3 linked regions of the Arabidopsis thaliana genome follow. The protein of the gene in region 2 binds, or shares a complex with, the protein of the main gene of each other region. Each region holds a gene or a part of one and is shown on either strand. Other genes may lie near its edges.

The links.
Region 1: TAFII15 (region 2) and TAF8 share a complex: the UniProt entries of both Arabidopsis thaliana proteins name them as parts of the TFIID complex.
Region 3: TAFII15 (region 2) and HAF2 share a complex: the UniProt entries of both Arabidopsis thaliana proteins name them as parts of the TFIID complex.

The regions. Positions count from the first base shown.
Region 1 is NC_003075.7:16,426,134-16,429,888, reverse strand, and holds TAF8 (TBP-associated factor 8), read left to right. Parts: upstream 1-1,878; 5' UTR 1,879-2,056; coding exon 2,057-3,118; 3' UTR 3,119-3,250; downstream 3,251-3,755. Other genes in the region: HDR (4-hydroxy-3-methylbut-2-enyl diphosphate reductase), read left to right, coding at 1-96, 183-257, 327-432, 527-621, 710-895, 969-1,055, 1,143-1,208. UniProt on the Arabidopsis thaliana protein: TAFs are components of the transcription factor IID (TFIID) complex that is essential for mediating regulation of RNA polymerase transcription.
Region 2 is NC_003075.7:15,354,477-15,358,231, reverse strand, and holds the start of TAFII15 (TBP-associated factor II 15), read left to right. Parts: upstream 1-1,800; 5' UTR 1,801-2,041; intron 2,042-2,061; exon of another isoform or gene 2,062-2,428; intron 2,429-2,491; exon of another isoform or gene 2,492-2,508; 5' UTR 2,509-2,527; coding exon 2,528-2,620; intron 2,621-2,716; coding exon 2,717-2,781; intron 2,782-3,182; coding exon 3,183-3,245; intron 3,246-3,430; coding exon 3,431-3,482; intron 3,483-3,576; coding exon 3,577-3,627; intron 3,628-3,755. UniProt on the Arabidopsis thaliana protein: TAFs are components of the transcription factor IID (TFIID) complex that is essential for mediating regulation of RNA polymerase transcription.
Region 3 is NC_003074.8:6,573,682-6,577,436, reverse strand, and holds the start of HAF2 (histone acetyltransferase of the TAFII250 family 2), read left to right. Parts: upstream 1-1,823; 5' UTR 1,824-1,884; coding exon 1,885-1,918; intron 1,919-2,154; coding exon of another isoform or gene 2,155-2,170; coding exon 2,171-2,395; intron 2,396-2,646; coding exon 2,647-2,738; intron 2,739-2,828; coding exon 2,829-3,003; intron 3,004-3,396; coding exon 3,397-3,755. UniProt on the Arabidopsis thaliana protein: TAFs are components of the transcription factor IID (TFIID) complex that is essential for mediating regulation of RNA polymerase transcription. Core scaffold of the TFIID complex.

The sequences.
Region 1 (3,755 bases), 1.1 Mb from region 2:
TACACATCAGTAATCCATGGTAAATATAATCATGAAGAGACGATTGCAACTGCGTCTTTTGCAGGAAAGTACATCATTGTAAAGAACATGAAAGAGGTGTGACTTTTATATTGTCAAACTTTGGATATCCATAGAATTTTGCAAGATGTGTTACTGATGGGGTACCTTATTACTGAGCACAGGCAAATTACGTTTGTGATTACATTCTCGGTGGCCAATACGATGGATCTAGCTCCACAAAAGAGGAGTTCATGGAGGTATGTAAGCTTATTTTGCTAATTCTTTGTATCATTCTGGTTTTTCTAATCTCTATGTTGGCGTTGTAGAAATTCAAATACGCAATTTCGAAGGGTTTCGATCCCGACAATGACCTTGTCAAAGTTGGTATTGCAAACCAAACAACGATGCTAAAGGGAGAAACAGAGGAGATAGGTTAGTTACTCTACCGTTTTTTTACATGACAATCGTCTTTTATCCTTGGAAACAAAAACACCTTAGTTTGAGTCTCATGCCAAAAACCCCACAGGAAGATTACTCGAGACAACAATGATGCGCAAGTATGGAGTGGAAAATGTAAGCGGACATTTCATCAGCTTCAACACAATATGCGACGCTACTCAAGTAAAATTCCCATACCTCAAAAACCATGCATCTAGACAAGTTTTACACTTGAGGAAGTGTTTATTCATCAATACTATAATCTCTTCAGGAGCGACAAGACGCAATCTATGAGCTAGTGGAAGAGAAGATTGACCTCATGCTAGTGGTTGGCGGATGGAATTCAAGTAACACCTCTCACCTTCAGGAAATCTCAGAGGCACGGGGAATCCCATCTTACTGGATCGATAGTGAGAAACGGATAGGACCTGGGAATAAAATAGCCTATAAGCTCCACGTAAGCGCATTTCAAAACTAACTTACTCCTTACCAAACTGCATTCACTGATTTTTTCTATTTTACATTGATAGTATGGAGAACTGGTCGAGAAGGAAAACTTTCTCCCAAAGGGACCAATAACAATCGGTGTGACATCAGGTGCATCAACCCCGGATAAGGTATATATATATTTGCAGCTATATTTTTGTTTGGTTCTCTTGTTTCCCACACGAACATGAGTGAAAATATTTGTGAAAAAATTACAGGTCGTGGAAGATGCTTTGGTGAAGGTGTTCGACATTAAACGTGAAGAGTTATTGCAGCTGGCTTGATTCGGCATTGTGATCGTATTCAAATACTATTTGTCATGTCAAGAGTGTACTAAAATATATGTAGTTGTATGATTTGTCTTTATAACTTTTGTAAGAGGTTTTGTAATTCAAAGTCAACATCCTCGTTATCTTACTCCACTTAATGTTCTTACCATAATCGCAATTAGACTGATATAGAACTTGAGACTGTGTAAGGCTGTCATTATCGAGAAGTTGTCACTAAAACAACTAGGTTATGAATCTCCGCGGTATCGGGAAAGAACTCATTTTCAACAAATCGAGCCACAAGAGTTTCTAAAATAGTTTAATGTAACGAAACTCGGGAAGTTGTCAAGAGTTCTCCCGCGATATTTCGTTATGTTTGGAAAATTTTCAAAACAATGTAATGAAATATCGCGGAGAACTCATTTTCAACAGAATCACTCATCCGAATTTCTAAAATAGCTTCATAAATTTTTACGAAATACCGCAGAAAAACTTATTTTCAACAAAATCAGCCACGCCAATTTCTTATAAAATTTTCCAATAATTTTTTGGGTTATGATTACTACAATTTACATTTGTTTAATTTTAAACCAAAATTTTGGTCTAAAAAAAAAAAAAAAAGTTGGTAGTTAATTTTGGGGTTGGAGCTCTATATAAGCGAGAGATGGCAGGATTCTCAAGACGCATTTCTCTCTGTCTCTCTTTCTCTCTTCATATTTCCCGGTGCTTCGTCGACGTTAGGTCTTTTCCGTTGACGGAGGCAAATTTCTTCGATTCTCTTTAAACCGGCGGTCCATGTGGTCTTACCGACGAGAAAACCCTAATTTCAGGGATTAGATAGCTTTTTGAAACAAATTAGAGCAATGAACACAGAGAGAGCTCAAGAAGGTGATAGGAACGATGCCGCATCTTCCTCTGGCTGCTCCGAGTCCTACGAGTTTAGCCACGCAGCCGCTAAAGCTGCAGTAGCTCAGGTCTGCGAGAGCGTTGGGTACGAGAATTTCAAGGATCCAGCTCTCGAATCTCTATCTGGATTCGCACTCCAGTACATTCTTCAGCTAGGTAAAACCGCTACTTCCTTCGCTAATCTAACTGGTAGGAGTCAGTGTAACGTGTTCGATATCATTCTCGCTTTGGATGATTTGACTGATAACAATGGCGAACAAGGAATTTCGTCTGAGAGTTGTTCATTAGGTCGTTCGATTAAACTTAGGGAGATTATCGATTTCGTTAATTCGAGTGAAGAAGTCCCTTTCTCGCAGCCATTGCCAAGTTTTCCTGTAGCTATAAGTGATAGGAGTAGGAAGATGATCCCAAGCTTTGTTGAAATTGGTGAAACTCCACCTGGGAAACATATTCCTTTGTGGCTACCAGCTTTTCCTGATCCTCATACTTATAAGGAAACCCCTATGTGGATCGAAAGAGTATCAGATCCAAGGGGAGATAAGATTGAACAAGCGAGGCAGAGACGAAAGGCTGAGAGAGCTTTGTTGAGTTTGCAGAGGAAACTTGTTTGTAAAATCTCCTCAAGGAATCCTGTGTGGGGAGATATGGATGGTGTGAAAGAAGAAATGAGAGATGATGAGAGTGAACTGCGTTCTGTATCGTCCGGGGAGAAAGTCGAATCATTGAATAGAGATGGCTTATCAGTGATAGAGGCATTTGCTCCTGCTATGGAGGCTGCAAGAGATGGGTTTTCTAGTGAAGCTCACACTGAATGGAAGAAGAATAAACCTGTTGCTCTTTCTAAGCTCAGAACCGAGAAGAAATTTCTCGGACAACCTTTGGATCTAAGTCTACAGATGAAGGGTGAAGATAGACCCATATCCTTTGTGCGTGAGGAGGATAGAGATGACAAAAGAAGAAGAGCGGAGTTCATTTTGAGACAGTGTATGGAGAACCCAGTAGACCTCAATCAGTTGTAAAATAAGTGATTCATTACAGTCTGTGTAGCGTACTATTAATCTTGTGATTTGTAACCTTTCTTTATACAGGCCTATGTTATGATTATGATTTTGTGACTGAAAGAATGAGAATTTCTAACCTATCTTTTAGGCAATTGATATGATGTCTTTCTCATGAGATTCTTGTTACATAACTTAATGTTAGTTTCAGTTTCATGTCTCATGAGTGGGAGCCAGGGACCAGTGTGGAAGGAGTTTAGTCTTGTATCATTGCTATATTTCCAAACCAAGTCAAGTGGTCTGAGGTAAGTATATTTTCTTTGGTCGACATGTGTTTTGCTTCGTGATGTTTATGGGGTGTGAAACATATCACTGTATCAGAATTAAGATTATGTTATGTCAATTAGTTGAGAGCTCGAGGTTAGAAAGGAAAGCTAGGTTATTGAGTTGGGGCCTTGTGGATTAATGTAGGATTTTGCTTTGGACACTGGGCGATAGATAAGAGACTTACTTCTCTCGTTAATCAAGCCTCTTAAGAGTTTACGAGAACTGAATCCTATCACAGTTCCTTTAACTAACACCCCTAGTTTTCAGATTCCATACTTATGATTTAGTTTTTCGTCTATTAGCCCACCACTCTGATATCAGTATATATAGA
Region 2 (3,755 bases):
ATTAAAAAAGAGGAAATCTAAAGCCAAAGTAGTAATCAACCCTACAACAACACATGAGTCACGACTTTCAGTTAACTACAATTATACAAATATTACTTGATTAAGTGGTGTTATCTTAACTAGTGTAATGTATGTTTGAAATTAATAAAGTCCATCTACAAACCATTTTATCAAAACAAAAAATCCATCAAGCAAATTGAAGCCACTCTTATAGCCGACTAACCGTACCTACAAATTTTCTGTTTCAAACTTATGCATATCTATATGGGTGCTTATGATACTTCCTATTAAATTTAATAAAATTAGTAAAAATTTCCCTACCATATATCATATTATTATTTTTTCGATCCAAGAAAGTTACTTTTTAAAATAGTTTTCTATTTTGTGACACTTCTAAAATATTATAAGTGTATAGCCATTTTTCCCCAAACAAGGAATAGTCTATCAGTCTATACAGTATACACACGATTTATTTGCAAAGAACCTACATACACAATTTCTCTTCTACCATGTTAGATTTTTAGTACTTGTTTTACTAGATTATGTATTTTTGTTTGTCTATCGGTCTTTTAATTTTCACTTGCTGGAGGTAAATAATGAAGGAAGTAGTTAAAAATTGAGATAACATAGTTGTGTAGAAATTAGAATACAGTGCAGAACTTAAAAGTATGGTTACGATCACATTGACAACAGTCGATATTCCATTGAGATCACATGAACATTGCTTCGTTAGAAATGCTCGTCGATCGCCTGAAGTAAACCGATTTGATTGGCCACCATGTTTTGCCTCTTCCTGATTTCATTGATATATTTTATTTTTCTTTACTATTTTAAACAACAAAAAAATTTAGAATCCGTATTCCAAAAGTAAATTAAATTTTTGCATACAATTTTTCTTTTTCTTTAAAATATCTAGGTTTTAATATAATATTCCATAATTTGATGAAAAGAATTAAAGAGAAAGTTCAAATCAATCCATATAGCTTGTCCTAGCCTATAGCCAAAAATATTCCTATGCCGCGATTGAACAACCGTTTTTTAAAAATCGTCAAATTAAATCAAACCTTTTTCCATGACAATGAGACTTGGATATAGTTTACATTAGATTCTGATTGGCCCCTTTGATATAACTAGGTAAACTAGCTTCTTGAATAAACTGTCTCTTATTTTGGTTTTATACAAAAAAAAAAAAGCTTTTGGAAAATGATTTAAATGTAAATACATAATACGTAGCGTCTAAGAAGCATATTTGAGAAAATATGGATTTATTTATCTGGTATTTATCCATTAATTTACCTACAAATGGAATCCACCATTAACCAAAAACAAACAAACAAATGGAATCCCGTGAAATAAAGTATCATCATATACATATCTCTCTTTTATGTTTTTATGGAGAGAATTAGTCCAATCCTTCTTCACTGAATTTACCACCTGCTTCTCGTAGAATATATAAAACTACCCTTAAGTCTTTTTCTAATGACTATGAGTTGACAAATGAGAAAAACAAAAACTGCTTTTGTTGGTCATTAAATATTCCGTCTAGATGGAGTTAGTGCTTTCATTGTCATATTCTTTGTCTCCCATCAAATTAAAGCTCACTATACAGCAGATTGTACAACACTATACACTAAAGTTACATTTTTGAGATTTTATTGATTGACAATTTCGTTTCGATATTCTTAGATACACTAAACTCAAATATTGATTTTATGGGAAGAGAATAAAAAATGGATTGTGAAAAAGGAAAAAAAAAAACCTAAATTTGGGCCATATGTGAAGAATACTTCCTTAAGTTTGGGCCATAGTTTAAATCAATAGGCCCATTAGTCTATCTAACGATTCTTTCTCAACTCTTAAAAATCTGACCGGCGGAGATGGCTCTGAGTTGGACCAGTCGGAGGATTAGGGTTTCAACGGAGACTCACTAGTCGATCTCCGATCCTTTCTTCTACCCGCCCGAAATCCGTCGAAACTTCTCTTCTTTACCATTGATTTGCCTCGTCTCAGCTCAATTCTCTTCCGTTGCTGCTTCGTTTAGGTTCGCATTATCGCTTACTTTATTGAATTTTTCCTCTATGTCTCTGGTTTCAATTTCAGCTCAATTTTGTCTTTTTTTCGGTTGAATTTTCTCTTGGGTGGTATCGAATTTTGCTCATGAATGCTGTTTCTTGATGAATCAGAGCCCTCTTAGTTTACTTCACGTCGTTCAATTCAAAACTTGGTGTGGTCTTTTGCAACACAAATCAGGAATAGTTCGTTACTTAGAAACAATAATGTCATACGAGAAGACAAATCTGGAACAGAGAATTAGTAAATTGAGCTGGAAAGTTTCAGTAGTCAAAATTCTCGTAAAACTTATTTTGGTATAATTGTGTCATGAGTCATGACATTCTTTCTTAGGTTTCGTACAAGTTTCTAATTTGAGGTAGATACTAGTTCAGAGGTTCTTTATTAATGTTTGATTTTGAAAACCTTTCTTTACTTACAGTTGTTGCTTCGCTTCAGTACTCTGGTGGTGGGAGAGATGAATCACGGCCAACAATCTGGTGAGGCAAAGCATGAAGATGATGCTGCTCTTACAGAGTTCCTTGCTTCTCTGATGGATTATACTCCTACTGTATACTTTCCTTTGTACTAGTTACAACTTTTTCTCGGCTCTACATGACTGAAATTTGGGTATTGATTGAGTTCTGGATTTTTATTTTTCTTTCAGATTCCTGATGATTTAGTGGAGCACTACTTGGCTAAGAGTGGATTTCAGTGCCCCGACGTACGATTGTAGGTATTTCCGACAAGTTATATCTGATACTTACAATGAAAGAGCAGATAAGTTGATATTGAATGGAATCATTGTTGGGTCTTAGAATGGGTGACCAGTAGTTAGATCAATGGCTTGGTTTAAATCATTTTGGATTAAGGTTTTGCCCTGTTTAACATTCCTGTAAAATGGTATGATAAAGAAGTCTATGTTGGACTAGCACTGAAAAAGATTGGCAATTTGAATGTAAACTTCAGAGTTCAGTTTGAATGCGTAGAATAATGAGGGGATTCTTCTCTTTCTATCAAATTGAGTGCTGAATATTGGTATATTTTAGTTTTTGAGTTTTTCACTCCTGTCATAATCTTTTCCTGTATCTATTCTTGCCAATATTCTGTTTTTTTGTTTACTTGTTTGACAGGATAAGGCTAGTTGCTGTGGCTACACAAAAGTTTGTTGCAGATGTTGCCAGTGACGCCCTTCAGTAAGTTTTCATTCTCTTCACAACGAATTATCATACCCTTTTTCATATTTGACTTGTAATTGAGAAAGAGAAGACACTGCCCATTCTGAGTAGATGAGATGAAAAGATGTCTACGCTAGATTTTCCCAGAAGCTAAAAGCATTGATATAAGCTCCTGAATAATAAAAATTGTCAATTATATACAGGCATTGCAAGGCTAGACCAGCACCAGTTGTGAAAGACAAAAAACAGCAAAAGGTAACATCTGACTCCCTTTTGTTTTTTTTCCCTCTGCAAGACTGCAACAAATATGTTTTGGATGATGACATGAATATTAATGTTTCCTTAACAGGATAAGCGTTTGGTATTGACAATGGAAGATCTTTCAAAAGCTTTGCGTGAGGTAAATGCTTCTTCCTCTAAGTTCATGCTTCTGGTATTGTTGTCCCTCAGACCTCCAATGTATGAGAAGAAAATGTAGATGTCTCTTGTTTTTTTTTACTTAAGCTGCAAATTACTCTAAATACACAT
Region 3 (3,755 bases), on a different chromosome or scaffold from region 2:
GGTCTGTTACTATAAGAATGAAATAAAGAGACTATACAATATACACCGTAACAAGTATATCCTTTAATTTTGTCATATGACAATTATTGTTCTTCTTTTTCTTTTTGGACATGGATAATTATATTTTGTTTCATTTTGGTAAATTAGGGTCCTGTTCGTTTGCCTGTGTTCGTTTGCTTGTCTGTGTTCGTTTGCCTGTCGCTGACGACTGAAACCAGCGACAACGACCAAAAGTTGTTTGTTTGCATAGCGATCAAAAGTAACGACAATCGCCAGCGACCAGCGACCGCAATTTTTGGTCGCTGAAATTTTTAGCGATCAGTCGCTGATTTCAGCGATTAGTCGCTGGTTTTAGTCGCTGGATCCAACGACATGCAAACGAACAATTTAGCGATCAAAAAATATAAATTAAAGAATAATTAAAAATAATTAAATTAAACAGAATTAAATTAAATTAAACTTAAAATAAATGTCTTTTTGCACTCTGAACGGTTGTGTCTTTTAATCGCAACTTTCCGTAAAAAATATTGATGGTTGTTTTTTCTCGCTTGTGTCTTTTATTGCAACCTTCCTATATTGTAATTTTCTGTCAAAATATTTACAGTTATTTTTTCCGGTTAGTTATATATATACTATTGAATAACTACGAAATTTAGAATATGCATCATTTGGAGTTAGATTTGTTTTAAAGAAATTATTATATAAATAAATTTATAATATTTTTCTCTGCGATATCAAGAAAGGTTTGAGTTCTAGTTTAATTAAAATAATTCTTATTAAATTAAGTTAAAATAAATTAAATTCAAATAACATAAACTAATTATAGTCAAATTAAATTTGATAAAACTAAAATAAATAAATCTATTAATTTATTTTTCTCATGGTGTATGATATATATGATTTACATTTTGATTTTAAAATATAAATTAGTACCAAAAATAATTAATTTTAAAAAAAAATATAGCGACTGTTTATAGCGACAGTCAAACGAACAACACAACGACAATTATTAGCGATTGTTGATGTAATTGGTCGCTGAGTCCAGCGACAGACAATCGAACAATATATGTTGTCGCTGGTTGCTGTCGCTGGTCGTTGGTCGCTGTCGCTGGATCCAGCGACAGGAAAACGAACAGGGCATAGGTTTTGTTTGTTTTATTTAGTATTTCTAACGTAAATTTTAAAAAAGCGCCAAAATCTAGAAGAAGAGTAATATGCGAGAAAATCACTTTTACTCTTATTTATTTACTTGTCTTGCCAAATTTCCATCAAAATTATTAATTACTTAATTATATAATTTTTGACTAATTATTTACTTTATTGGACCCGGGATATGTAACTAAATGGGCTTTTATTGGGCTGTATTCTGTGGACCATTAATAAACATAATCTTTGAAGTGCAAAAAAAAAAATGGGACCCGGGACAACTAAATCAGAATCGGGGCGGGTTATAAACTTTTCCCTATAAATTACCACTCCGATGTTAATACCCGCCTCTTTGATCCCTCAGACGATTTCTTCTTTCCGTTGTATCTTCCAATCACCCGATTGAGCTCCGCTTCACTTCCTCCGGCTAAATGTGTACATACTCTCAATTAGGAAACCGCCAATCCCACATAACGTTGAATGTCGTCGTCTCGGTTAGATATCAACGAGGGTTTTGTTCTTGGTTCCTTACTAAACAACAAAATTTGACGAAAATTGGTACTTGGGTATGAACGTTGTTATTCCCTAATTGTACCGGAAAATTTGATGGTGGTATGTTTCCCTTGTAGGTTTTCGTTGAGTCGTGGATTTGTTCTTGCTCCTGATTCTTTTCAGTAGTTCCTTTGCTATTTGGGAAGCAAAATTGTCACGCCACTCTTTGCATTCGAGGGTTTTATTATGTCTGAGTCCAACGACAACGAGACTTCCGCAGGTTATATTTGCAGTTTCTTACATGGTTTCTTCATTAGTGTATTGCATTCTCCTAGTTTTGCTCTAGTCATAATCTACTTATTGTGGGATAATTTATTGCTCAGCGTTTTGAGTTAATTAAATAGAAGGTTTTTATGTTTGAGATTTTGATATACGCAACAAGTCCCACCCATAGCAGTTACAAACTGAAACTATTTGCCACTACCAATTCCCGGTCATCAGCTTCACTGACTTGTGATGATATGTCGTGTAGATTATGGGAGCAATGATGAAGAGTATGATGGGCCTGAGCTTCAAGTAGTTACTGAGGAAGATCACCTACTACCAAAAAGAGAGTACTTATCAGCTGCATTTGCTTTGAGTGGTTTAAATTCCAGAGCTTCTGTGTTTGACGACGAAGATTATGATGAACAAGGAGGACAAGAGAAGGAACATGTACCAGTTGAGAAATCTTTTGATTCAGAAGAGAGGGAACCAGGTTTGCTTTTGAAATTTCCGTTTCTTGAACAAAACGATTAGCACACTCTATTCTCTACTTTTGTTTTGTCATTTCATTAATCTCAGATTGGTTTAGTTTTCTCAACACTTATACTTGTTTAGCTCGGGAAAATAATCTCTTGTTAAGTTGGAGTCCAGTGCGTCATAAATACTAGAGATCAGAACTCTTGGAACTTTTCTTAGATTCCTTTTGTGTTAGTGATTATGAGACACTAAACATTATTTTCGCAGTTGTCTTGAAGGAGGAAAAGCCCGTAAAGCATGAAAAGGAGGCTAGCATCTTGGGAAATAAGAATCAGATGGACACAGGAGATGTCCAGGAGGTCAGCAAGAATGATTTCGGTGTCTCAGATAACATCTTTTTTTGTTGTGGAATGATTTTGTTCTGTTAGTGATCTCATTGAAACGTTCAGGAGTTGGTGGTTGGATTATCAGAAGCTACTTTGGATGAGAAACGTGTCACCCCGCTGCCTACGTTATATCTTGAAGATGATGGTATGGTCATCTTACAATTCTCTGAGATATTTGCTATACAAGAGCCACAGAAGAAACGGCAGAAGAGAGAAATTAGATGTATCACTTATAGAGGTATGTGATCTGCAACGGCTTCCTAATTTTGTTTATTCTCAAAAGCCTTTGAATTTTTTGTGCTTTCCATTGGGATGTTAAAATCTACAACAACAATGATTTCTCAAGATTTTCAGTATCTCCCGTTCAATTCTAAAAGCCATTAGGTGTCGAAAGCATGAGAAGTTTTTTGTATGTGGCTCTGTCTTTTCTTGGCAAGAATTTAGTAGATATGTATATTTGGTGCTTCTGAAATGATATACATTATTTTCTCTGTTTCTCTCGTTATCTCTCTGCATTGTTCTTTTCTGTTTGTAATTCATCACTTCTTTTAATGTAACTAGAATAGCTGAGAAAGTTCTATGAAAACAATTATCATATGAGACTCTTACATCATAGCCTTCTTTGGTACAGACAAATACATATCTATGGATATTTCTGAGCTTATCGAAGACGATGAGGAGGTACTCCTGAAGAGCCATGGTAGGATTGACACTCATGGGAAAAAAACTGATCAAATTCAGCTGGATGTTCCCTTACCAATCAGAGAGCGTTCACAGCTGGTAAAATCTGGCATAGTAAGGGATACTACATCAGAATCGAGAGAGTTTACCAAGCTAGGAAGGGATTCATGTATCATGGGTGAACTGTTGAAGCAGGACTTAAAAGACGATAATTCATCTCTCTGTCAGTCTCAATTAACAATGGAAGTTTTCCCTCTAGACCAGCAAGAATGGGAACATCTAATACTCTGGGAAATTTCTCCTCAATTT